Linked DNA regions of Mus musculus. The protein of the gene in region 7 interacts with the protein of the main gene of each other region in a pairwise test. Links are inferred from orthologs where the notes say so. Each region holds a gene or a part of one and is shown on either strand. Other genes may lie near its edges.

Region 1 (2,948 bases), on a different chromosome or scaffold from region 7:
GTGATTTCCTTGGGGATGATAGGTAGATAAGCTTACACCATCAGCCTTGCTTGGATTTCCAAGGTCACAATTAAGATTTTGGTCAAAAGGTGGCTTTTTTTTTTTTCCAGCCTTTGAATTATGCCCTGTTAAGTCTTTGCTGGACAACTTCCTCCTTGGCTTAAAGTGCATTAATTAAGCCTTAGTTTGTTGCCCTCAGGAAATCCCTTGAGGAAAAGAAAATGTTGGAAGAAGAGAGAAATCGGATCCTAACTAAACAGAAGCAAAGAATGAAAGACTTGCAGAAACTGCTGGCAACCCGGGTTAAGGCTTATGGCTCCCACCAGAGCTTGTCTCAGATAGTTAAAGCCAGGGTGAAGGAGCTCAGGTACCACGGAAGAGCCTGGGAACGCCAACATCAGCTGCCAAACTCCCTTTCCTTCCCTTTCCTTTCCTTTCCTTCCCTTTCCTTTCCTTTCCTTTCCTTTCCTTTCCTTTCCTTTCCTTTCCTTTCCTTTCCTTTCCTTTCCTTTCCTTTCCTCCTGCTTAACTAGTGGATACCTAGATATGAAAATACTATGGCATCTTAATTTATGGATTTAAATAATCTTTGGCTGTTCCTACTCAACTGTTACATATATGCACACATATACATCTTATAATGACAGTCAGTGTATTTACTTACCTCCATAGCGAGAACCATGAGACCATGTGGAACAGAAATGGCTTTGTTATGGTCATAGTTAGTAATTGCTTAAAAACCAGCACAAAACCTTATTTATGCAAGTGTGTTCTTATTTATAAATTATGTAAATATTTGGCATATATACATGCATTGCATACATACATTATACATACATACATATGTACATTATACATCTGGTGCTGGGGGCTGGGCATGTGAGGACCAAAGCCAGGATCTTGTACACAGACTGGCTGATCTGGATAAGTCAGGGAGTTCTGTTCGAAGTTTGTACCAAATACAACAGTTTGAGTGGATGCATGGTGGGTACATGCTGCCCCTCATGACTGATAGCAGCCACAGAACACCTACAGTCCTTTACAGAATACTACTAGAATTCTATAAAGCAGAGTCTGAAAACCAGCATTCCAAACATTGCACATAAAAATGGTCATGCTTAAGCAAGAAAAGGCCCTCCAAAGCTGGGTAAGTAATATGACTTATTAACTTTTAAGATCCAAATACGTACATCTATTTTATCACTGAGCCTTCCTTTACAGTATAGGATCAGCCCACTAATAGAGCCGAGTTTGATGAACTTGAGCAAAAAATTCCTTAGGAATACAGTATTTGCCTGTAGGAAGTTGAATACCAACTTACTTTGAGTAAGCATAATTTTTGTAAAGTATAATTATTTTCCGTACCCATGAAACTCTCTTGTCTTGGTTGCTTCTAGTATATCTTATACAGAGGAAAACAAAACAAAACAAAACAAAACAAAACAAAACAAAAAAACAGTGAAGTTTAATTCATTGTGGGATCTGGTCCAGAGGATGAGCACAGCGAGGTTCATGCTTTTGGCTCTGCCCTCAGTTGCTACATTCTCATGAGCCCCACTTTCTCTCTTACCTACTCCCACTTAATTAATGTTGCCACTGCCCACTAGGTGATCTCATTTAGGGAAAGAAGAAAAGCAGGGTCTTTTTATTTTGGTGTTTGAAACAAGGTTTCTCTGTGTACCCTGGGCTGCCCTAAGAACTAGCTCTGTAGGCCAGGCTCGTCCCACACTGGGATATCTGCCTGCTTCTGCCCCAGAGTTTTGGGACTAAAGGTTTGTGCCACAACTGACCAGTTTCAGGGTCTTGTTTTTGAAAGAATATTTTTTAAGATACCCATTTGGACCAGACTTTCTTGCTTTTGTATACTTTTATATAAAACACTTTTTCAGGCAAGACTGAAGTCTTTTTGCCTTGAAGACTTTGGAAATCAAAATGACCAGACCATTCCCAGGGCAGTACACTGTGTTTCTTCAAAACCTGGGCTTTTTATTCTGGATTTATGAAAATCTTGCCAGTCTAGAAAAGGAACTGGGCTGAGCTGTGCTCTCACTTCCTGGTTTGTCTTCTGAGGTGAATGTCCTAGGAGAGCTTCCGTAGCTGACCTTTAAAATGCCACTCTCTTTATCTGGTTCTAGAAGGAGTGAAAAGGCCAGGATGAGAGAATATTGGCAAGAACTGGAGGAACAAGAGGAAAAACTGCAGAAGAGGCCGATGTTGTTTGAAAGAGTCACCCAGGTTGTGTTTATTGGTTAGGGCCATCACCAGCTTTCTGTTTCTCAGTACTTCTGGCCTCCACCTTTGTGCTCCGTCTTACGGTGTCCTACAGTTGCCAAGACATGATGTTTCTGGGGCGGCTTCATCCAGTCCACCAAGAAAGTAATTTCACTTAAGATGTGACAACGCTTGTAGCTCAATAAAGAACATGTCACTAACCCCATGTACCTCAAGACATTCCTGACACGGTTTGCTTTAGAGTCTGGTCTTTTTAGTCAGATTCTGTTGAGGCTTCGGGATATCATGGGGAGGTCTTTATGAATTCAACCACTGGGTGTATGACCATTGTATGCAACATAGTGAGACCGTCTCTTAAAAGCACTTTAAATTGGGTATTTCGTTAGTTACTTAGTTAGATTACTTGTGTGTGAGTGTTTTGTGTAGGCACCATGTGCATTTCTACCCACAGACATCAGAGGTATTGGATACCGTAGAACTATAGTTGTGAGCTACCATGTGAGTGCTGGGAATTGAACCTAAGCCCTCTATAGAAATAAGTGCTCTTAACTACTGAGCCATCTCAAGGCCTAAAAGCATTAAAAAACCAAAGCAAATCTCTCTGCTTCACCATCCTCCTTAGCACGGTCCTTCCTCCCGTGGAGGCCTTTCACTCCCAAGTTCAATGGTGATCTCAAGGGGGTCTCATGATTAACCTCCCCAGTCGTATTGCCTCA
Region 2 (4,123 bases), on a different chromosome or scaffold from region 7:
CTTCAATCATTTGTTTTTAAAAAGATTTATTTGGGCTGGTGAGATGGCTCAGTAGGTAAGAGCACCTGACTGCTCTTCCAAAGGTCCGGAGTTCAAATCCCAGCAACCACATGGTGGTTCACAATCATCTGTAACAAGATCTGACACCTATTATTTCACGTTTATGAGCATTTTCCCTGCATGTAAGCCTGTTTGCTTGCCTAATGCTCAAAAGGGTAAAAAGAGGTCTCCTGGGACAGTTACAGATACTTTTTAGCAGACAAATGGGTGCTGGGGATCGAACCCAGGTTCTCTGCAAAAGAAACAGGCACTCCTAACCATAGAACCAACTCTCAGTTTCTCTTTTACTGTGGGATGTTACAGAAGACTGGAGTAAAATCACATTTGGCAACCTAGATGTGTGGTGCTGTCTCTTCCATTTGGATAATGCGGATCAAATTCAAGTTGTTGGGTTTCTCTGTAAACCCCTTGGCTTGCTGAGTCAGTCCGCACTGACCTTCAAAATGATTTTTTTTTTTTTTTAATGAAAATGCTCTTAGCCCAGCTTCTATCTCAGATCTAGGTGTCAGCCTCCCAGCCTGTTACTCCTCCTATGGTTCAATGTACCCCTTGGTCAGAGAGTAAAATCAAGGTTCCACGGGAAGGGAAATCAGTGCCTGGTGGTCATTTCCCCAGTCCTCCGTTTATAAAGCATACGTTCATTTATTGATTTAGGTCTGTGTGTGATGCACATGGCACAGCACACAGTGGAGTTCAGAGGACAACTTGCTGGAAAACCATTCTCACATTCCACTTTGTGGGTTCCGAATGCAAGTCGTCCACTAGGTGGCGAGCACCTTCAAGTGCTGTGCAATCTCACCAGACCCATTTTTTTTCAACGTAGTAAGAAAAACTACACCTGGCCGTACTGCAGGGGCGGGGGGTGCCTCTTTGGAACCTAACTCCTTCCTTAGAAGCCTACTAAAAACGCCTCTTCTGCCGAATATCCCCGGTCCCCATCTCCACACCCTAGCTCACCGGTCAGAATGGGGACTACTGGCCCTTTAAGGAGCTCCGCCCCACAGCACGCCGCCAGTCGCCTCCGATTGGTCCCGAGCGCGCCGGAGCGCAGCCGAACTTGACGCACCCGCCCGCAACCTGCCGACGCACCTCCCACGCGGCTCCGCAGATCTTCAGCCAACCACCGCCCGGCGCGCCGAGACTAATCTGCATGACCCCACCTCTCATGGAGGCCTCAGCCAATTAGAGCGCTATCCTTGGGTTCATTAGCATGAGGGCGGAGCGGGCGCGGGCGCTTGGTTGGACCGTCGCCGCGTCTCAGGTCCCGGGAAAGTTTTTTCAGAGGTGAAAAGAGCCGGGAAGTCCGGGCCTGCGCGGGGCGGGGGCTGCGGGGCGCGGCCTCCGGGACTCGATCTCGCAACAAAGGATCGCGGGGCCTCCTGCCCGAGGACCTCCCCGCCCCGGGATCCGCCTCCCCGGTCCGGGCCCCCCGGGGATCGCCCTGCGGTTCCCATCGAGGTGGCAGGCAGGACCCCCTGACCTTTGCCGGCTTCTGTTCCAGATCCCGCCCGGAGTGGCCATGTCCCACGGTCCCCGGCAGCCAGGCGCAGCCACCGCGTGAGTGCGCCTCCCCCAGCCTGTCCCGACCCTGGATAAGCCCTGTCCCCATCGTCGGGTACCCCTGGAAATGCCTTGTGTCCATCTCGAGTACCAGGGGTCATGCCCTGTCTCCACCCCGGGTACTCCTGGACATGTCCTGTCCTGCATCCTTGGGAACTCTTAAACATTCCCTATATCCACCCTCGGGTACCCCTAAACACACCATGTCCACGCTGGGATCTCTGGACATACCCTGTCTCATCCTCAGGTACCTCTGTGTACCTCTGTTTTGGGAACCCCTGATCCTGTCCTGTCCCTATACCCTACCTACCTTATCCCCACTACAGGAACTTCTGACCATGTCCTGTCACCCTTCGGGGATTTCTGTACTCCCTGTAGAACTGCCAAGACACCCTATGGCCTTCCTCACTATCTCATCTTCCTCCCAGGCCCCAGGACCAACTCACCTCGTCCTCCGTCCCCACCCCGCCAGTGGCCTACTGTGATCCTTGGATCCTCAAACTCTGGGTCCCCACCCCCTTTTTCCAGGCTCATGCGTGCTCCCACATACTTCTGTGATCTCCAATGACAAGAAGGGGATGGGTAGGTATGGGGGAATGATTTTGGCACTGATGGATGACGCTGGTTTCCATTGTCCCCAAGACCTGCGGGAGGCAAGACTCCGGGCCAGCACGGGGCCTTTGTAGTGGCTGTCAAGCAGGAGCGCAGCGAGGGTTCCCGAGCTGGAGAGAAGGGGCCCCAGGAGGAGGAGGTGAGTCCCCATCTGAAAAGCCTGGCCGGCCGCTGGCTCAGCAACACATACCTCACAAATCCAGACTATAAGATCCTCCCACTGCCTAGCAAGAGGCCACACCCCAGCCTAGCCTGTCAGTGGCTTCAGCCCCACCCCTAGGAGGCTGTCTTGGTGCAGGACCCGTAGGTTCTCTAGAGTTCTGACCCTTGATCTGCCGACCTACCACTAGACTAGGCCCCGCCCATATGCCCCAGACCCCCACCCACACTTCCCAGAGCCCCTCCCAAGGACACAGCCTCCTCCTGCAGCCAGTGAAGAAGCGAGGCTGGCCCAAAGGCAAAAAAAGAAAGAAGATTCTCCCAAATGGGCCCAAGGCCCCCGTCACTGGCTATGTTCGCTTCCTGAATGAGAGGCGGGAACAGATTCGCACCCGCCACCCGGACCTTCCATTCCCGGAGATCACGAAGATGTTGGGCGCCGAGTGGAGCAAGCTGCAGCCGGCAGAGAAGCAGGTAGAGACCAGAGAAAGGGGTGGCAGAAACAGGAGGATCCCTGGGCAAGCCCCATCGGTGAGAGACCCAGGCCCAAAGAACAAGGTGGAGAACGTCCAGTAGTCCTGGAGAAGGGACCCTCTCTCTGTGGGTTGGAGGGAGGAAGGGAGGCAAGGGAGGGGTTACGAATACATCAGTATGAGGGGAGTTGGGGGCCTGGCTCTGGCCACATCTGTGTGCCTACCTTCGTTTGGGCTGGCCCTAGTTTGAGGATGCTGCCCCCCTCCTAGCGGTACCTGGATGAGGCAGAGAAGGAGAAACAGCAGTACTTGAAGGAGCTGTGGGCATACCAGCAGTCAGAGGCCTACAAGGTCTGCACTGAGAAGATTCAAGAAAACAAAATTAAAAAAGGTGAGTGAGCCAGGCAGTAGTGGTGCACACCTTTACTCCAGCACTTGGGAGACAGAGGCAGGTGGATCTCTGCTTTTGAGACCAGTCTGGTCTGTAAAGTGAGTTCCAGGACAGCCAGGGCTACCCAGAGAAACCCTGTCTCAAAAACAAACAAAAGCCGGGCGTGGTGGCACACGCCTTTAATCCTAGCACTCGGGAGGCAGAGGCAGGCGGATTTCTGAGTTCGAGGCCAGCCTGGTCTACAGAGTGAGTTCCAGGACAGCCAGGGCTACACAGAGAAACCCTGTCTCATAAAACCAAAACCAAACAAACAAACAAACAAACAAAAACCCAACAACAATAAAAGGAAAGGTGAATGGGCCCAAACTCCCCTCATAAGCATAAAGGTTTATGTGGGGCCGTCCAGGTGGGGCCTCTGGACTGGGAGGGTGCTGGCTGACCTGCCTTCCTCCCTCCCCACTAGAGGACTCCAGTTCTGGGCTCATGAACACCCTCCTGAATGGGCACAAGGTAAGGGCCTCTCAGTCCAGAAGTACTTAAGAGAGAAGATACCTACCCCCAAAGCTAGTGTGTTCCATAGATAAAAGCAAGACCACTGTGGAGACACAGTGACTCTGTGGTGGGGCATAGCTTAGTGGTGAAGTCATTGCCCAGAATGCACAGAACCAAGGGCTCTACCCCCACCACCACCCACCCACCCCACCATGAGAGGGCCTCATGTATAGAGTGCTGACCTGGCATGCAGGAAGCTGGGGACTCCAGCGCCACTCAGAGTTAAGAACACTCACTGCTCCTGCACCCCCTTGGGTGTGAGCACAGACACCTCTAACTCCAGTTCTGGGGCATCTGCTAACCTCCTCTGGCCTCT
Region 3 (2,635 bases), on a different chromosome or scaffold from region 7:
AGGGCTCCCTATATTAACTCCCACATGGCTTAATTGGCACAAACAACTTTGTTCTAAGGAGAGGATTTCTGATTCTCTCTGGTCATAAGAGAGGTGGGAGGTAGGTCCCTGGGTCCCAAATAGCCATTGGGAGAGATGTTTTCTGTCCCTGCCATTCCCCAGCTGTCCACTGTGGGAGCCAAGAGTCCTTGGTGAGGATCCGCCTCTGGAACAGGCCCCTCCGCCTCTGACTCAGGCCACTTGTCTTGCAGTCCACCCGTGTTGGGATGTCTGTCAATGCTCTGCGCAAGCAGAGTTCAGATGAGGAGCTCATTGCACTTGCCAAGTCCCTCATCAAGTCCTGGAAGAAGCTCTTGGGTGAGTCTCAGAATGTAAAGGGAAGCTCTTGCTGGTCAGCACAGCATAGAGTGCTGGCTCTGCTACCCTGATTGAAACTATATATGGTGGGATATGACAAACATAGATCAGAAAGGACTCATCCCTGGGCTGGACATGGATGAAGATGGTAGAAGATGGATGTCATCTGTTGTGATGGGGAGGTGATGGCCTGGGATGTATGATCATTGAGACAAGGGTATATGCTGCAGAGGAGGTTTTCAGGCTGCAGGAGGCCAACAGAAAAGGAGATCCAGGCAGGATGCTCCAGCTGAAGGAGGAGGGGAATGGGATGGCTACCTATGCAAGAGGGTAGCTAGGCAGACAGCAACTGTTTCTGGGGACAGTGCTACTAGGCTGCAGAGATGGTTCTATTGATTAGGAAGGTAGTCTTCTGCGTTCAGTCTACTTCTATGAGACAACCCAGAGCCTGTTTCTCTTTACAGTCACATGCCCTGGTCCCCTGGTCCCTAGTTCAGGCTTTGGGCAAGGTTTCTGCCCATGTTTTCAGAAGGAGCCTTGTGTGAGGCATATGCTTGTCTTTTGGCACGGTTGGGCCTTGATGAGTCCTACAGCAGCTTGTTGGGGGGGGGGGTGTCCTAAAGAGGCTGGTGGACTTGCTGGGGACCAGTAGGAAGGTCCGGTAGCCTCCTGGCACCTTGCCTGTCAAGTAGCTTTAAGCAAAAAGGATAATGGCCAGGCTGAGGCTGGGCCCTCACCTGGCTGCCTGCTCCTGACCAGTCTACACCATCTGTTTTCTGATAATGGCAGATGTTTCTGATGGCAAATCCAGGAATCAAGGGAGGGGCACACCTTTGCCTACATCATCATCAAAGGATGCCTCAAGGACTACGGATCTCAGGTAGCATACCTGAAGGCAGGTACATACATTTATGCCTCTTGACTCAGTTTCCTCAGTGGGAAGAGGAGGCTGGTGTGCATTTGCCTGGTTACTGCCCTGAGGGAAGGTCCCTCTCCAGGGTGAGTTTTACAAGGTTTGTCAGCTTCATGTTGGATACTGTCCCACTGTTTAGTTTTCTTCATGCCCATCTGAGATGTCTGGCTGTGTCTGCCTGTCACTGGCATCACTGAGACCTTCATTAAGTAGCTCCTATCCAACAGAGCTGGCCCAGCCCCAGAGCCCTTTGCCTACTTCCTCAAATCCTATCTTTGTGCTACTCATCAGGACTGGTGAATGGGTCCCTTTATGCAAATGCTATCTGGAGCTAGAGGTGTGCACAGCTCTTATCTCCACATTTCGGTGGCAACACCATTGCTTTAAAGGTAGTCAGGACAGCCCAGTTACCATGGAGACTAGGAGCACTAGTAGTAACAGACTATAGATGAGAGACTACTTTAGCCTGGGCTGAGGCCATGACAGGCTAAGCTCTGGACTCTAGTGTAGCATTCCTGATATGTTATATCCTGACCTCAATAGTATAGTTGATTTTGCTTCAGAAAGTCACCTGATGCTGCTGATTTCCAGAGGTGGTGTGAGGAAAGAGTCTGGTAGGCACAGCATTAATTTTGGGCAAGTCTTGTGTTAGGCCCAGATGTGAGGAAATCTTGCCCAATTTCATTTGTGTTGAGTGGGGCCACCTGTGACAGTTTAAGCCTTGACTTTGGGTGACCTCCCACCTCATCTTTACTCCCGGCAACTAGATTTATCTGCCTAGTTCTGCCATTAGTAGAGAGAGATTCACAGCATGGCCCATGTCTTGGGCCTCTTAGGAAGCACTCTGGAGGTAGCAAGAATATCTCATCCCATTTTGAGCATGGAGTGTTGCTCAGACACTGACTGTGGAGGAGCTGGCATCCACTTAGGGAGTGATCTGTACTCACTGTAGACCTTCTGGCCAATGCTCTACTCTGATGAGACATAACACACAGGCATTCTAGGCTGAACTAGGGATAGATAAAGTCATTTAGCCTAGTTAGAGGTCTGTCAGGATAGAGCAAATAGACTTCGGAGGTCAGCATGGTATCTACATTTGCTTTTCTGGGGATCACCTGTGGCCTAGGAAAGGTCAGGGGACCACCCCGAAGTATCATCAGCTACTGGAGATGTGCAACTGAGCACAGCAGGTTCAATCTGAGTCCAGCAGGCTTTGTCTCTTTAGCTGCAAGAAGCCAGATCCACCTAGGACCCCATCCACTCCAAGGATCACTACATTTCCCCAAGTGCCCATCACCTGTGATGCTGTACGAAACAAATGCCGAGAGATGCTGACTTTGGCCCTGCAAACTGACCGTGAGTGTT
Region 4 (4,300 bases), on a different chromosome or scaffold from region 7:
GAAAAAGCATGAAGCACAATCTACGTCCTTCTTGATTTCTTGCCAGCTGCCATGTTCTGCCATCTTGCCACAGACACTCTGGTCTCTCACCTGCCAGCTTTGGCCTTAGCGATTCAACAGCTTACAGGGGAGTGAGGTCAGCATGTCCCAGGTCCCACACTCCACTGAGGTTTCTTGCCCAATTTGTCCTCAGAGGTTCCTCCTTGAACTGTGTTACAAGGCTTTGTCCTTTTAGAAATATCATCTTCCCCTCAAAACCCATATTAAGCACTTATCTGCACGGGGTGTTGTGCTGATCTGTTTCCAGTGAGTCACACTGTCACAGGCTCTGCCCTCTGGGGAAAAAAAGTCTAGGATATTTGGCAGGGACTTGAAAGCCAGTTAGTTAGGTTAAGTCCAGGGGTGGTGGTTGTGGCCAGGGCCGGGGGTAGGGTGTGGGGTGTGGGGTGGGGTAATGGTTTAAAGCCCTCCCCAAGGCCATTGGTTGATAACTCCATCCACTGTTCACCTCCTACCCCTCATTTCTCCTCTTCCCTTTCTCCCCCTTCATCTCCCTTCCCTCCTAGACTCCCATGCACTTCTGTTTCCCCACCACTCAAACTTCAGAGGGATTTAATATGCTGCTCCAACTTTTAAGCCCAGGAAACACTTCAGCTCACTGTAATAGCTGATTTTAAGTAAATGATAACATTAAACATGATTCTGAAGGTGTTTTAAAATGCATCCATTGATTTATTTCTACTTTGATTATAAAAAAATCACGTCTTAGACTTTCCAATGTCTTATAGCCATATATTAAAGAAACTAGGCACCGTCAAGGAAGAAGCCCTGACCTGTGCAAACATTCAACATGAAGAGTCCTTGAAAAAGAAAAAAGACAGATCCCCGCATTGGCTTTAAAAGGCCATCCCTGTCGCCTCAGATTGGAAAGAGCTAAAATAGATCAGAAGTTCAAAAGAATCTATTATCTCCCAGACCCAGAATCTCTCCTTCTCTCTCCACCCATCTTCCTAAAGCACAGTGCTTTGGCTTGTTTGCTGAAGTCATTTTAAAATGCAATCATTTTGATCACCAAGAAATCTTGCACAATTTGGGGTGTTTTGTCATTCTCTCCAGTTCACCAGTCCTTCACTCTGTGTCACTCAGAACACAGGACAGGGCATGTGTCTCCTTCAGCTGTTTGACCAACAAGTTTACCTTCATCTCTGACTTCCCCGGGGGTCCTGCTCAAGCAAAGGCCAGCTATGAGTCTAGAGGACTTGGTGTTTAGTAACCCCGGTGTCTTCTTACAAGCTTTCTATGACACACAAAGCTGTCCTTGCCATACCCCGCTTCCTGCTACCCCCTCCCAACACACTGACATACCCTGTCTTACCGAGTTTCTACTTTCGCTACACTAAATGAACATACAAAAATATTTGTACTTGGCCTATTTAGTAAACTATGTCAAGGCACTTCCCCCTGACCCTCAGAGAAGTTGTTGTGTGTTTCCCAACAAGCCTTCTGAAGACAATGCCAGTAGAATGAGTAATGGGCTCTTCATTCACCAGCTTCATCCAAACCGATCTAAAGCAGCAAGCATCTGGGAGGGACTGCCCCCAAAGAACAAGTTTTGGGAGATTATGAAGAGCCAGCAGGTGACTGTGTCTCAGCCTTTAAAAGGGCTTTGTGACATAACCATGCTCCATGCCACCTCCATCTCAAGTCAGCTCTACTCACAAGTATAAACTGCATTCTAAAATAAAGCCGTGTTCTTGCTCCATTTATTCCCAACCTCTCTAATGTCACAGGGCTTAGCCAGGATGACTTTTTTTTTTCTTTTTTGCAGCCTATTGGCACCCAAGAGGTAGAAAGGACCTCAAAATGTGTAAAGTGCTTTGAGATCCATCCCACAAAACTAGGACCAGAGATGTCTCAGGCCTTTCTGTGTTCAGGGGTGTCTCTCCCGTTTAGGATTGAGAACAATTTCAAACCTGCTTTTCCCGGCCAAAGCTGTCAGGTAGGGGCAAAGGGTAAGAATGCAACCACCCTGGCTTGCCAGAAAATTTGGGTTAGGTGGGGATGGGCCCCTGAAAGAAGCTAAAAGGGTTGTGGATGTGCCCAGGGTCTTGAGCTCGGCAGGTGGCGACACAGCCAAAGCTAGTCATTTATTATCACTAGCAATATACCTCAGGCGGAAACCCCCTCCCAGGTTCCTCCCTGCCCGGACCTGACCAGCAGGATCACCTTGATCTTCTCGCCCTCGATTTCCACGGTCTTCTCCCTGAAGTCCACACCGATAGTGGCCTCAGTCTTGTCTGGGAAAGTACCCCCGCAGAAGCGGAAGGTCAGGCAGGTCTTGCCCACGTTGGAATCCCCAATCACGATGATTTTGAAAATGCGAATCTGCACGTACTGGTCCATCGATGAGTCGAGCTCCAAGGATGCCAAGCCAGCAGCTGAGGCGGGCTGCAGGCTCCCATGGCCCAGGATGGGCTGTGCCATCTCCCCGGGACAGGACCCGGGTCCCAACCCCACTCGAGGGCTCCACACAAAGAAAGCGGCCACGTTAGTGCGCTCAAAGCGAGAGAGCTTTGTGCGTGTGTGTGTGTGTATGTGTGTGTGCTCGCACGCGCGTCTGGAAGTGTGTGTCCGCCCGTGTGTGCGTGCGCCGGCAACGTGTGTGTGCGCGCGCGCGTGAAGAGGGTGCTCTCACCCCAGGCACCCCTCCTCCTTTCCTAGTGCACCCTCCTTTCAGCTCAAAGGCACAGACACAAAAGCTTGAGAGAGAAGAAATGGAGACTGGGCCAGCCTTGAGAGGTCTCCTTCTGCCGGTGTGTGAGCTCTGGGACTGCAGGCTCAGGCTGTGCCGCGCCTTTGCTTAGACCCTCCCCTTCTGGACCCCAGGGACACACTGGAGGGAGAAAGCCTAAGCACAACAGGGAAGGGATGAGGAGTGTGGAACACAGCGCCTCAGGCGAGCCTTCTCTTCTTGTCCCCAGTTCTGTGGTGGGTTTCAGGCTTCCCACCCCTACTTTGAGCGCATAGGCTCGGTGGGCAGTGAGCACAGCTGGGGAAGACAAAGAGCGCTGTACCCTAAGGCATCGCAGGAGAGTTTCGAGTCCGGTGCAGCATTAAGGGGTCGGGATCTGAGATACCTTGTTCACACCTCCACAGCCACTGACAGCTGCGCCACTGTGGTTCCCTGCCTCCCCCCACCAAGTCTTAGGAAAAGGAGGTATTCAGTCTTACTGAGTAAGCAGGTGCACTCTTTGGTGCCCAAGGAATTGGGGAGGACACTGCCAGGACACCAGTGAACGCAGTGGCTTGTGGAGGGCCCCCACGCAGCTGAAAGGAGGCAGACACGGGGCACGGGCGTGAGTGTGTAGGGGGTGTTACTGTTTCTGTCAAAGACTTGCCAGATGTAGGGGGGCTCGTACCAGGCGCCAACCTCCCCTCATCACACCACGAGCACCCACCCTCTGAATGTTCAGGAGGGTGGTTCCCATTGGCTGCCACAGTCGGTTGTGTTTGGCTGGCCAATGAGGAAGGCCCGCCGCGGGAGAGGGCCATACAGAGGCTAGGAGGAGGGGGAACTAGTGGGGACAGTTCCAGCAAAGGGGGACTTTGTTTCTGTGGCTAACCATTACAGGCCCAGGTGAGGGCACTTAGGACACGGCATAAACCCCATGATTCCTGATACACTGAGCCCTTCACAAAGCCATACGGTGTTTCAGATTGGCAGAGTTTGAAGGGGAATTGGAATCCCAAGGAGGGTCCACCCACCCCCTGCAAGTGAATGTAGAATATAGTGGTTGGGTCTAATTTGTCAGAAGCCTAGATTATGCTTGGAAGATGATAAATGAATACAACTTTTTTACGATTTCAGAGGGTAGCTTCCCAAGGCTTACTAACCATCACACAACTTGGTCAAGACCCATATTCCATCTCCCAAAAGTGACTTTCAGGTTTAACATCTGTATGAAGTCAACTTAGGTACGATTTGCATACAACAATGAGTACCCATTTTATGTTTGTTTTAGGAATTTGCTCATCTCCCTTATATTTCATAGGCTAAGGTATCACAGACATATACCATTAGCATCAACATATGAGATATTGCTAATGTCATCAAAGTCAGGGGAGCCAGCAGCACACATGAGCTGCCATTTTGCATGTGAGGCTGATCTACAGGAAGCCTCAGTGTAATGAAATCCATTCCCACTAAGGAAAAATGTAAAAGTAACTTTTGTTCACCTGGTATAATTGTCATCTCAGAGACTTACAGCTTCCATCTGCTAACCTAGGCCTAGGATTGGAA
Region 5 (4,210 bases), on a different chromosome or scaffold from region 7:
AGAGCCCTTGATTTCCATAATTCTTCCTTTCTTTAGTTCTGCTACAAATAGTAACTGCTGTTGCATCAAAGAATGCAAAGTATATAAATTAACTTGAAGAAAGGTAACTGGAGGAGCCTACAATAAAACCCAAAACAAAACAAAACAAAACACTCCATACCCCCAAATAAAAACCAGGGCTGCTGGTCAACTGTGACACTCTGGAGAATTAAGCCCACCCAGAACAAGGCAGAGAAAACTCTGCACCCCTCCCCCTCCCAGTGCAGACTCTTCCTGCCCATGGTCTGTGTCACCCACTCCCAAAAGCAAAGCCCTGTGTACCCAACCCCCACCCTCAGCTTTGAGGCTAAAAGACCCTCTCAATATTGGAGGTCTTTGAATAGGGCAACTCCACCCTGCAAGCTCATCTTCTAACAGCTGTCCTGAGGTGGCAGGCAACCTGCACATCCATCCAGCAATGGTCCTCCTCCCACTGAAAAGGAAGATTTTTTTCCCACAGCCAAGCACCTTTCATTCCTTCCTAACTGGCTGTCATTGTTTCCTTTGCTATATACTCTACATTACTTATTTACTATCTTAAAATACAAGCTCAGTGACATCCTTCTGAACAGAAGGCACTTGGTGACTGAAGCCTTATGCTATTCATTTGGCCTTCATTTTCCTTGGGATGAAGACTTCCCTGACTTTCTAAGACTGGGCTAAATGTTCCTCTAGCCAACAATATCAAATAGTATTACAACTGTATTTTACACATAAGTGTTTGTTTGGTTGGTTTTGTTTTGTTTTGTTTCCGAGACAGGGTTTCTCTGTGTAGCCCTGGCCTGGCTGTCGTGGAACTCACTTTGTAGACCAGACTGGCCTCGAACTCAGAAATCTGCCTGCCTCTGCCTCTCAAGTGCTGGGACTAAAGGCGTGTGCCACCACCGCCTGGCCACATAAGTGTTCTAATAAGATGAGGGGTATCTTTCTCACTCTTCTGTAGAGGGATTTTAATTCGGCAACATAGCTACTCTGGTTAGAACACAGATACACCCTTAGTACACACCTTTAATCCCAAACAATGAAGGCAAAGTTTGTAGAAGGAAGCAGCTTTGTTTGAAAGTGAAGTCTAACAGAGAGGGAAACAAAGTGATGAATCAGAAAAAGATTCAGTAGACTAGGATCTACCCAACTCTCATGAGAGAGGAGAGAGAGGCAACATAGGAGGGAGCAGACAGAGGGAGAGAGGAAAAGAGACAGTGTTACCGGGAGAGTTTTACAGAGACAGGGTGAAGAGAGAACAAGCTAGACATGACAGGCTGAGCCAGAGAATAAGGAGGAGCCAGAAGAGTAGAACACATTGCTAAAGTTAGTTTGAAGCCAAGCAGAGCAATTCAGTCAGAAGCAAGAGACGCCAGTTTGAATCAGTCAGAGGAGTTTGGGCCAAAACAGCTGAGTTGAACCAGAGAGCAAGAATTCAGAAAGAGCTAGAAAGAGTGAGCTTATTCAGCAGGAAGTCTCAAAAGCTGGAAACACTATAGGCCTTTACAGAAGCTAGAAGCTTGCAGGATTGGGCCTAGATTAGCTGATGGAGGCAGTAAGCCTCCAGACAGCAATTACAGCAGGAGAATAAAAGTTATTGTTACACTTTTCTCATGTTAAAAGCCTCATTAATTTTTATGGTTTTGGATTTTTCAATGAGTGTATTGTTTGCATGTATGCCTGTGCCCCAGGTTTATGCCTGGTGTCTACTGAGGTTAGAAGTCATCAGATCCTCTGGAACTAAAGTTATGAATGGCTGTGAGCTGCCAAGTTGGGGCTGAGAATCGAACTTAAGTACTGTATAAGAACAATTCTTAACTACTGCACCATCTCTTTAGTTCCAGATTAATATTTTATGACTATGTTTACTTTGTAAAACAAAGGATTAAAATCGAATCCGATTACCAGTCTATTAAAAACCTTCCAAAAACACCTTTAGAGAAATGACCATATCGTTCAAAGATAACACATTTAGGAGGTTTTTATAGGCTTCTTTTCATACAGAACCTTCCAAACCTAAGGACATTTGAAGTTCTTTTCAGTCTCAGACACAAGAGACTTGCTTTCAAAGATCCCCTTCGGATGCTATCTGACTGAGCAAAGACAGCACAAAACAGATCCCTGTAAGGGCAAAGGTGCAATGGCAACGCTTAGGGATTCCTAATCCATTCAGCACGGGCCTATGTGCAAGAGGACAGCAGAAGCAGCGGCGTCGGTTTTTTGTTTTGCTTTTTTGTTTCTTTTCTTTTTTTTTTTTTTCCAGTTTGCCTGTCTTAAGGCTGCTCCTTGGCCTTCCAAACAATGATCCCCAAATCCTTGCCTCAGTCACCCAACCAAAGGTGTTGAGCACCTGCACTATTTCTCTCCCGGCAAGCCACGACGGAAAGGAAGCAATCCCAGATGGCGTCGGCACCAGAGTTTCCGAGGGGAAAAAAAAAATTTTTTTTCACTGAACGGGTCACAACCAAGCCTACCACGCTTACCAGATGGACGCTCCCAGTTAACCACGGCCTCCAGAACCGTTGGTTCGCGGGCAAAGACAAGTGTCGCGGTGGCATCTGGGAATTGTAGTTTCTGTCGCAAACAGAGCGCGTAGTTAGCATTACAACTACATTTCCCAAAAGCCAACGCAAAGCCCTGCCTGCTTGGCTGTCACTCATAATTCTATCCCATTTCTACTTGGAATACTATAGAGCACCTTTATTTGTTCGGCTTTTCTTGTTCGATAAACATCTCCGGGCATCTGTACTCCTTACTTTTCTTTCCCCTTCTTCAAACCAGCGCCTCCAAACGTCGAGAAAGGACAACACCGCGGAAAGCGCATGCGCCCTGGCCGGCGTCGCGCATGCGCAGCAGCCGGTCTTAGTCAGTGGCGCGCTGGACTCGGGGTCCGGAGGTACTCTGCCCGAGGGCGGGGCTGCTTCCAATGGCTGTCTTTGCGGGTCGCGTGTGCCTGGGCGGAGAGGCAGGCATGGGGCAGGGGCGGCTCCCGGCGGTCCCGGGCGGGGACAGGGGAGGGGCTGGGGGTGAGGACCCCGTCTCCCCTCCCTGCTCCCGCCCTCTGGGCCGATCCCCACCGACGGGGCTGGGCGAAGGGGCGGGCTCTGTGCCTGGGGCCCTTTGCTTCAGCCGTGCAGCCCTGGGCTCGATGACTGCTGGATTGCGGGGTGCCCTCTGGCTTGGCGGAGGTGGGCGAGGACAGAGGAGTAAGAGGAGCATCGGCGTACCCCGGGGGACAAGAACCGGCAGGGTTGGGGACGCCGCCCTTAGTCGCCGCTGACACTGTGATTGGCGGACACTGCTCCCCCGGAGCACCGGAGCCTCGGGCCCCAGCAGCTAAGGGCCAGGGTCTACCGCCTACCCCGCCAGCACCCGCCCGCTGCCCTGCCGCGGCGCTAGGAGGAGCCGAGGGGGGCGGAGACTGGTGTCGGAGGAGGGCGGGGTGGGAACGGTCGAGAACCAGCCGCTGCACAGACAAAAAATCGAATGGCTGGAGAACCTTCTACTGTTTACCAGCCTTTTGGGACCAAGCACGGATTTGACAGCTCCACAACGTGAGGATATCCGCTGACCCTGCGACACAGAGAACACTTCCCCGGGACTCTGTGTCCAGCTAACCAGCTCTGTGAGATTGCAACTTTCCAAGTTTGTTCTTTTCAATCTCTGTCAGAAGACTGCCCTCGTGTAGGAGAGGGTGCCTGGGTGATCCGCCTTGTGGATCGATTTGAAAGCATCAACTTTAAAAAGCACGTGTGATTCCCAGTGCCATCCAGACGCCTGCTTTCACGACGGCTGGATTTCTCTGACTTTATTCTTAGCGTTTCTCGTTGTTTTTGTTTTTTGTTTAAAAAACAAACAAACGACGGGCTGCTTTGGGGGAATGCTGAAAGGTAACTGACTAAACGCTGAAAAAGAAAAAGCTCTTGATTGTCATGGCTGAAGGAGAGAATGAAGCGAGATGGGAGGGACTGTGCAGCAGAGACACGACTACTAGAGAGACAGCACTGGAAAACATTAGGCAGATCGTTTTGAGAAAAACCGAATACCTTCGTTCAGCGAAAGAGACACTTTCCCGACCTTCAGACGGACTTTCAAACGCGGTTTCTTTGGATGGGATGAATAAACTTCTTGCTCATCTGCTTATGCTCTCTAAGAGATGTCCCTTTAAAGATGTGCGAGAGAGAAGCGG
Region 6 (4,293 bases), on a different chromosome or scaffold from region 7:
TGAGAACTCCTGGGTGATTCAGTACTCAGCTGTCTTCGTAAAGCAGGAAGAAGGGTGGGACGGGAAGTATTCAAGCCTCTTTGCTCTGGCTGAGTAACTCGAGCTCGCTGAGGCTGGCGAGTCACCACAAGCAGGTCTAGTGGATGGCTTACTTTTTAGGTCTTTAACCCAGACATCCTTCTCTGGAGAATCATGGTGTTTGAAGACTGAGGCGCTCCTATTGGGCATGGAGCTCTGGGGCCAGAAGGTGTTGGCTAAATGAGTGGCCTGAATGTCTCTAAGGGGGTGGGAGGAGTTTGGGAATGAGAAGAGAGTCTGATTCTGTGTGTGCACAACCTGGTTGGAACAGTTGACCCAATCCCTGGTCCCTTCCTGGGAAGTGAGGAGAGAGTCAGAGGAGAATGACACTCTCCCTGCAGTGTCAAGTTTACACTGAGAACAGCTGTGGGACCCAAGGTCCCTTCACCTCCTCTGCCTCTTTTTGGCAGTGTTTCACATATCCCAGGTTGGCTTCAAACTTGCTACATAGCCAATGATGACCTTGAACTTTTGATTGCCCTGCTTCCACCTCCCAAGGGCTAACATTATAGGGATAGCCACATGTCCCATTTATGAGATATCAGTGGTTAATTTCAGGGCTTTGTGCATGCTAGGTAGGTTCTTGACCAACTGGGCTGAATCCCTAGCTTTGCCTATGGTCTTCATGTCCCTTCTGACTGCATTCCCTCTATCTTCAGTGTTCTTATTGTGTTTCTGATGCATCAGTCACGGCAAACAACACTGGGTCCAGTAAAGTGTCCAATGGATAAAGCAAAAGAAACAAATGTAACACATAATTGTAGCTTGTGTGACCTCGGGCAAACAGCTCACACTCTCTCAGCCTCTGACCTGTGGAGGTCATGGCAACCTCCACCACCCTAAGGTCATTAGAAGGTGAGATGATGGTGTGCACACTGTACTTTGTATACTACCTTGCCGAGTAAGCCCCATCTAGGCAAACTATTAGCCTCCTGTCTTGCATGTTTTGCAGTGAGCATGGAACTTGGTCTGAATCTCATGATTATCTTGATGGCAACTAATTTTACAGTTGAGAAAAATCAGAGCTTATTAAGCTAAGGTCAATGTTGAGTATGTAGCAAAGCCGGAATCATTGGACTCCAAACCTTGGACTCTTTCTACCACAATATTGTCTCCCAGGAACGGCATGTTTTTGACTCAATAGAACCAATTTACAGCCCTTTGCTCTCTCTGTATATTCAAGAAACCCTAAGGAAGAGGCAGTTGGTTCCCTTTGATGACTGAGACCATTAAGGCCAGAGAATCAGCCAGTGAGCAATGCAAATACTGCCCTGCTGCTTGAAGCAGCCTTCCCTGTCAGGCCTGTGGCCAGACTTCAACCCCCTGTCCCTCCAAACCTTTCCGGTCCAGCATCAGCAGGCCCAGAGGGGAGGCTTTGAGAAGCACTGGCAAGAGAAGGAGAAACATTCAGAGAAGCGACAAGCTGGCAGCCACATGTCCTGCTTGCCCTTTCCTCCCTGTGGGTGGTATGCATTTGTAGCTCACTGGCCAGTAACCTAAGAACATACATGGCCACATCTCTAGGTCTCCCTGAAGACTCAGGCCAGCCTTCTTCTTCGTCTTGGAGCTACCTGTCCATTTGGGCAAGAGGGCCCAAGACTACTCCAGACCAGCTTCCTCAACTCTTTGTCTTGGCCCCCTGGAACCGTTTAACCAGCAAGAAGGGTTGAGTTTGAAGGGTGAGGCATATAGGGTCCTTAGCAAGGTTGGGGATTGTGCCATGCTGTTGAGTAGGAAGCCACATGAGCACACTACCATAGTGCTGCCCTTGTGAGCTGCTGCCACCTGGCAGCTGGCTCAGGGAAAATCACAGCAGGAGTTACCACACTTCATGCTAGGAAGCATGAAGGATCCAAGCTGCTCAGAAACCTATGTGTGGGAACTGTCAAGAGGCCATCCCACTTATAGCAGCTTCCTAGCGACAGGCAATCCTCTATTCCCTGATTTCTCTAGTCCCAGACTGGCCGTGTACTATATGATGAAGCTAAGTCCATCGGCAAGGTGGGAATTACCCATAGCCTGCACTACCGGTCTAACCCCTGATTCAAAAACTGGCAATAAACTGAGAAGGTGGGCAACCCCTTCTTAGGAGCAAACCTCAGAGAGGTCATCTGATTTCTCCAGATCTCAAAGCCAATGTATGAGGGAGCCAGAGTCTGAGCTGAGCTCTGGTGCCCAAACCCAATTCCGTGCAGAATTGAACCTGGACTATCTGTTGATTTTGTCTATCTGTTCACTATTAAGTGAACCCTTCCTGCTGACCCTTCACACCCCTACTGTGTGATAATGGATTTAAGAGAGGCTGTAGCAGGTGTTAAATTCCTCTCAGTATTTACAAGCAAACGGTCAACCAGACTACAGAGCTGTCACTGAGAGCCTACTTAACCCCATACCCCCCACCTCCACTTTTTATCCCTGCAGCACCTCACCTCAGGGAGGCAGGGTCCCAGTACCCACAATTTGAAGGCTTCAGTTGCCGAGACAGCTTTCTCTGATGCTCTCAGGTCCTTCTCCTTCCCTCCACCTTCTCTTGGAACACAGTCAGCCTAACAGCATGCGAAGCAGACCAGATTCGAGTCTTACTTCTCTACAGGTCCTGGGCTGTGAGCTCCTCTGCAGTGCCCGGGCTGCTAGTTCCTCTGCAGGTCTCAGACTTAGGGAGTGCTAAGCAGGTCCTAGATGGCTGAGGCAGCCGCCCCCAAAGGGCGGGCCTTAAACCCCCAAGATGGGAGGCACTTTTGCACTCCCATTTATTCTGATATCAATAAAAAAGAACTGTTGCTATAGAAACCGTTATTTCACTTGGTGAGTGGCCATGTCCGAGACTCAGAACACCATGTCCAAGCCACCCTGATTGAGAGGCACAAATAAATACATGTTCTGTCAGACTGATGAGGCATAAGAATCCTGCCAAGCTTTGTTCGGAACAAGGCGAACAAGGCGGCTCCTGGCTTCTAGGGAGGAATTTCCCTTGTTTGTATGGGAGGGGATTCCAGCACTTCCCCAAAGGGGGTGGGGGGACCAGGCTTCCTGCTGCAGTGACTGAATCTTTAGAACTTGCCTCTTGGATACTAGCAGGGAGAGAACTATAGCTTGAGTCAGTTCTTGGCAATTCTCCAGGCATAGGTGTAAGAAACATTGTGAAATGAAGTGTCATCTACAAATGTGTTGGGCAGTGGTGGCACACATTTTAATCCCAGCATTTGGAGGCAAAAGCAGGTGGATCTCTGTGTTCAAGGCCAGTCTGGTCTACAGAGCGAGTTCCAGGACAGCTAGGACTACACAGAGACAGTCTCTAACTAACTAACTAACTAACTAACTAACTTCACATAATTAGCTTCATACCTGGAACTTCACAGAAGAACCAGCAGGCTGTAGCCCAGGAGAAGGGCAGCAGATAGAGTTTGCACCTAGCCCACCCTACTCTGATCCCAGTCCTTTCTGAACTTTGGCTTTCCTGACTGTCAGCTGAGGGTAACAGTGTAGCTGTGTGTGACCTCAATGAGATGGCGTTCACTAACACAGCCTGCAGAGAACTGTCATGTGCTAAAGGCAGGGTCTTAATATGCATGCTTGTGCCTGGCCACAATGAGAATTCGTGCAAATAAAAGCTGAGGACATGGGTAGGACCCCAAAGACGGTCTAGGTGCTCGTAGATCAAAGACCTTCTCTGCACCCCTGAGCTTGTTTCCACTTGAGCATTGGGTCTAGTCTGGCTTTTGGTATTATCCCCTGCTCCGCCCCCATTGAGGAAACCAGCACCTGCCAGTGAGTCTAGGTCTGTACCCCAGTTTACTTTCTCATGGAACTTTGGTTGGCCAAGGGCAATGAGGCCCAGGATGCACATCACAGATAAGCAGACACATTTCCACATACAGTTCTGGGTTCTTTTTGGCCATAGGATCTGTTCGTTTAGTCAACATCATATATATATATTCCTGGTATGATCTAAGTGGGCATATACATGATGGAAAGGAGACAGAGACAGATATTACTCCAGTCCGCAGGGAATCCACATTCAGTGTGTGTGTGTGTGTGTGTGTGTGTGTGTGTGTGTGTGTGTGTGTGTGTATGTGTGACAGTAGATAAAGATACATACAAGAAAATGTCACCCAGTGATGTATGGCTGTAGAAAGGCTGAGTGAGGACTGGGCAGTGACTGGTAGCTTGGGAAGGGTGGGCACAGCCAAGGCTGACTCACAAGGAGTTGGTCAT
Region 7 (3,500 bases):
TGTTTTGTTTTGTTTTTTAGAGATGAGTGTTGAGACAGAGTCTTGTGTTTAGACTAGGTTACCCTTGAACTTGTGGTGATTCTCCTGCTTCCACTTCTATTGCTCAGATTATAGGCATGTACCACCATACCCAGCTTGGTACAGGACAATATTTTTGACTCACTTTCTTTAAGAAAATAATTCCAGCAATGATACATAAGGGTTTGTTGACTTTTTCTGTGGTGTATAAGATGTCAGTCAGCCATTGCCATTTACCCTGTTGAGCACTGTCAGCCCTTGATTATGATAGGAACTAGAAAGGAGTGGAGCCCCTTGGGGAAAAGGCATAAGAGTCTTGGGAGATGGTGAGCCTGGCCATGTTCTGCGAGGGTGCTCCGGCTCCTGCCTCTCCCAGTAGTAGACAGTGACCCTAGGGAAAGGCCTTTATGATATAGAGGACTGAGAAGGTCACAGTCTGGTTGCCATTCCATCCCAGGGCTTACATTTTGCCTGCTTTCTTCACTCCCACTCAGTTGAGAGATCCACTGGATCCCTGATTTGCTTCAATACCTCGTACAGTGCTAGAGCTTACAGGAAGTGAAAGGTGTGCTGCCGTACAAGTCACTGAGGTTTTACTTGATTTTAAAATACCTGGTTCTGAGAATAAGAGGCTAATGTAGCTTTAACCCAAATTCAGCAATGGCTCTTACTTTACTAAAGGTTTTACAGTATGATTAAGACTAGGGATGTAGCTCGGTGGTAGAGCACTGGCCTAGCATACATTAGGTCCTAGGTTCAATTTCCAATATGGGTGTCAAAAGTCAGGAAAACAAAAAATAAGAAAAATTATATCCAAATTAAGTCCTGATTGATGAAGTAAATAAATTAAGTCTAAAAACAATTGACAGGGTGGCTTGAACTGGTTTTCCCTGCACTGCTGGGAGCTGGAGATAGTGTGTCACAGGGAAGGGAGGGCACTGAGATCTCTGCTTCTCAAGCTACTCTCTGGGAGCGTGGCAGATGAGCTTAGTACAGTATGATGGAGTGCTCAGAACTACCTAATGGCGCCCCCTTAACATAGAGGTCTGAGCTGCACAGGGCGATCAATCCAGGTGACTGAACAAGGAAGAGAGGGGGCCGAAAAAGTGGCAGGAGGCAGGGAGCACACGGTGCTGTGCCAGCCCCTAACTATACCTTCTGTAGTAACCTTGCCCTGCACTCCTGACCCATAGTGTGATGCTCTGCTGGCCAGACTGACAGAATTGCAGGACAAGTTCAAAGCCAGCCAGGAGGAGATTGGGCACCTGCAGATGGAACAGTGTGAGCTCCTGGAGGACCAGAGGAGGCTGCAGGAGGAGCAGGGCCAGCTGCAGGAAGAGCTGCACAGGCTCACATTCCCACAGCCCAAATGTGGCATCTTGCAGAAGGTACTCATTGCCAGGGCGAGACCATTGATCAGGGGGAGGCTGCTCTGAGAGGCTTCCAGGTATAGCTGTCCATGGGGAAGAGAGGGAAGTGAGCAGTTTCCTTTCTTGCTCAGGTACCTTTTATTTTCTTACCATTCTCCCCACAGAGCTGATTTGGGTTTTTCTTCATAAAGGCTTTAAACTTTAACATTTATATTCTGAAGTCTGTGCAGTGTTATGTATTTAGCTATTTGGTCAGTCTGGAGGAAGTACACCTGAAATCAGTTTGTGAACTGTAAAATATCTACACATTGGAGTCTTTTTTTTTTCCGATTAGCAAACTTCCATGGAAAGAACCGCTTTCCCCAGAAGGGCTCTGTGAAGCAGGGAAGAGGCAGAGCCCAGCAGGGATGGGGCTGAGGAGGGCGTTTCTTCCTTAATCGCCGCCTTTCCTTCCTCCTCCCTACTCAGAGTCAGGAGCTGCTTTCAAAGCTGCAAGATCTGTGTGAAATGCAGCTGCTCTACCAAAACATGCAGGAGCAACAGCGAAAGCTGACACAAAACCAGGAGTGTGTACTGAAGGAGCAGCTAGAGGCACACAAGCATCTTCGAGGTTTCAAAGAGTCTCATTTCCAGGAAGTGTTGGCGAACCCTCAAGATGCTAGAGGGCCTAAGTCCTCCAGTTGTGAGAATAAGGTAACCACAGCAGCAGGAAGGGGTTTGGCTCTTGTGAGGACAGCTGTGCGGCAGGGAAAGGGCTCTGTAGAAGAGTTGAACCAGGAAGGCCTATTTGGATAGGAAGTAGGATGAGACTGACGCCCTTGTCAGGGTCTTCCACGGGCTCCACTACTTAGACACCCTGAGTATCTCACGCAGAGGCGCACGCTCTGCTGTGATGTTTGGATGCAGAATGATTTTCTTTTTAAAGAGCTGAAGAGAAAGCAGCATCTAGAACAGAGTTTAGGTGGCCTGGAAGGTCTGTCTGACCACTGGGTTCTATCCCCACAACATGGCATTTTCAAAATATGTGCAATCAGCTCACTGTTTGTTTTGATTCCTGTTGACCAGCCCTGAGTGTGTCATCTTTTTGTGTGGGCTAGAAAGTCTGCTCCATTGTCAGAGTCTGTAACCTTTTGAGTCTCCATAACAAATCTAGCCCCAGTCATCTCCAAGGAAAACAGTTGCAGCAGACAGGATCATGGTGCCAACTACATTATTTTACTGAACGTTGGGCCAGGTTATAGGAACTAAATAGAAAAATCATTGTTTGTCAGACACTATCAGGAGTCACTGTCATGCCTGTGAGGTAAGATGGCTAGGAATTTCTACACAAATCTGTTCAGAGTTGGGCAATAAATTTGGTCCAAGGTCTCAGTGTAAGCAAGAGCAGGTAGACAGTTTCAGTTCAGGCTAAAACTACCAGTTTTAATATTCCCATGAACAAGGAGAATCAGGAAATGGAGGAAGTCCAAACTGTGGGACTTCTTGAGCATTCCAGGGGTGTTAGATATCCAGGCTGAGAGCCTGGGTAGCATAGAAACTGGGAAGTCACGTGTAAACTGTTTCCTTGATCTAATACTGAATGTATACTTGAGGCATGGAAAACATACTTTCAGGGAGAAGGTACAGGGACTAGTGAGGAGCAAGACCTTGATTCCAAGCCTGAATCTTCCAAGAAACAAATTCATAGTCACACATTTGCAGCTGGGCTGATTGTCCCATGAGGGGTGGTGGAGAGGACTGAGCCCAAGGTCAGGATGGGGGCACTTGACTTAAGAAGATCATCGGTGTGATAGGGAGCCCGGGTGTGCGTGAGACCTACCTACACAGCTTCAGGGAGGAAGTTTCTGCCAGAGTACAGAAACCAGTAGAACGGGAGCTCTAAAATCACTTAGTATCTGTCCTGGGAGATTTTTTTCAAAGTAGCAGAAAGCTGCCCCACACCAGTCTCCTGTAGGTTAAGGCAAAGGCAAAGGCCTTGTGAAACAGAGGTAGGTGTGTGTGCTCTTCTCTCAGGTAAGCACTCACATCTGCCCTAGGAGAGGGGCAGCTGAAAGGACTGGAATATCTCACAGTAATGGTGATGTCTCCTGCCCCCTGCCTCCCCCCTAGTTC

What was found.
Region 1: the proteins of Ccdc136 (region 7) and Fam161a interact in binary tests that used the Homo sapiens proteins (3 or more experiments, as listed by UniProt). The two-hybrid records come from large-scale screens. The link is inferred for Mus musculus from reciprocal best matches to the Homo sapiens genes CCDC136 and FAM161A.
Region 2: the proteins of Ccdc136 (region 7) and Hmg20b interact in binary tests that used the Homo sapiens proteins (3 or more experiments, as listed by UniProt). The two-hybrid records come from large-scale screens. The link is inferred for Mus musculus from reciprocal best matches to the Homo sapiens genes CCDC136 and HMG20B.
Region 3: the proteins of Ccdc136 (region 7) and Tcea2 interact in binary tests that used the Homo sapiens proteins (3 or more experiments, as listed by UniProt). The two-hybrid records come from large-scale screens. The link is inferred for Mus musculus from reciprocal best matches to the Homo sapiens genes CCDC136 and TCEA2.
Region 4: the proteins of Ccdc136 (region 7) and Rab33a interact in binary tests that used the Homo sapiens proteins (3 or more experiments, as listed by UniProt). The two-hybrid records come from large-scale screens. The link is inferred for Mus musculus from reciprocal best matches to the Homo sapiens genes CCDC136 and RAB33A.
Region 5: the proteins of Ccdc136 (region 7) and Cep57l1 interact in binary tests that used the Homo sapiens proteins (3 or more experiments, as listed by UniProt). The two-hybrid records come from large-scale screens. The link is inferred for Mus musculus from reciprocal best matches to the Homo sapiens genes CCDC136 and CEP57L1.
Region 6: the proteins of Ccdc136 (region 7) and Fam107a interact in binary tests that used the Homo sapiens proteins (3 or more experiments, as listed by UniProt). The two-hybrid records come from large-scale screens. The link is inferred for Mus musculus from reciprocal best matches to the Homo sapiens genes CCDC136 and FAM107A.

What each region holds. Positions count from the first base shown.
Region 1 is NC_000077.6:23,021,295-23,024,242, forward strand, and holds the end of Fam161a (protein FAM161A), read left to right. Parts: intron 1-199; coding exon of another isoform or gene 200-367; exon of another isoform or gene 368-1,147; intron 1,148-2,135; coding exon 2,136-2,253; 3' UTR 2,254-2,448; downstream 2,449-2,948. UniProt on the Homo sapiens protein: Involved in ciliogenesis.
Region 2 is NC_000076.6:81,347,628-81,351,750, reverse strand, and holds the start of Hmg20b (SWI/SNF-related matrix-associated actin-dependent regulator of chromatin subfamily E member 1-related), read left to right. Parts: upstream 1-1,323; 5' UTR 1,324-1,579; coding exon 1,580-1,617; intron 1,618-2,262; coding exon 2,263-2,371; exon of another isoform or gene 2,372-2,661; coding exon 2,662-2,865; intron 2,866-3,109; exon of another isoform or gene 3,110-3,134; coding exon 3,135-3,255; intron 3,256-3,718; coding exon 3,719-3,765; intron 3,766-4,123. UniProt on the Homo sapiens protein: Required for correct progression through G2 phase of the cell cycle and entry into mitosis. Required for RCOR1/CoREST mediated repression of neuronal specific gene promoters.
Region 3 is NC_000068.7:181,683,297-181,685,931, forward strand, and holds part of Tcea2 (transcription elongation factor A protein 2), read left to right. Parts: intron 1-251; coding exon 252-357; intron 358-1,146; coding exon 1,147-1,237; intron 1,238-2,495; coding exon 2,496-2,626; intron 2,627-2,635. UniProt on the Homo sapiens protein: Necessary for efficient RNA polymerase II transcription elongation past template-encoded arresting sites.
Region 4 is NC_000086.7:48,517,785-48,522,084, reverse strand, and holds the start of Rab33a (ras-related protein Rab-33A), read right to left. Parts: upstream 2,801-4,300; 5' UTR 2,485-2,800; coding exon 2,227-2,484; exon of another isoform or gene 2,210-2,226; intron 1-2,209.
Region 5 is NC_000076.6:41,807,069-41,811,278, forward strand, and holds the start of Cep57l1 (centrosomal protein CEP57L1), read right to left. Parts: upstream 2,801-4,210; 5' UTR 2,720-2,800; intron 2,596-2,719; 5' UTR 2,580-2,595; coding exon 2,505-2,579; intron 1-2,504. Other genes in the region: Sesn1 (sestrin-1), read left to right, coding at 3,954-4,210. UniProt on the Homo sapiens protein: Centrosomal protein which may be required for microtubule attachment to centrosomes.
Region 6 is NC_000080.6:8,306,978-8,311,270, forward strand, and holds the start of Fam107a (actin-associated protein FAM107A), read right to left. Parts: upstream 2,801-4,293; 5' UTR 2,508-2,800; intron 1-2,507. UniProt on the Homo sapiens protein: Stress-inducible actin-binding protein that plays a role in synaptic and cognitive functions by modulating actin filamentous (F-actin) dynamics. Mediates polymerization of globular actin to F-actin. Also binds to, stabilizes and bundles F-actin.
Region 7 is NC_000072.6:29,413,575-29,417,074, forward strand, and holds part of Ccdc136 (coiled-coil domain-containing protein 136), read left to right. Parts: intron 1-1,211; coding exon 1,212-1,406; intron 1,407-1,856; coding exon 1,857-2,081; intron 2,082-3,497; coding exon 3,498-3,500. UniProt on the Homo sapiens protein: May play a role in acrosome formation in spermatogenesis and in fertilization.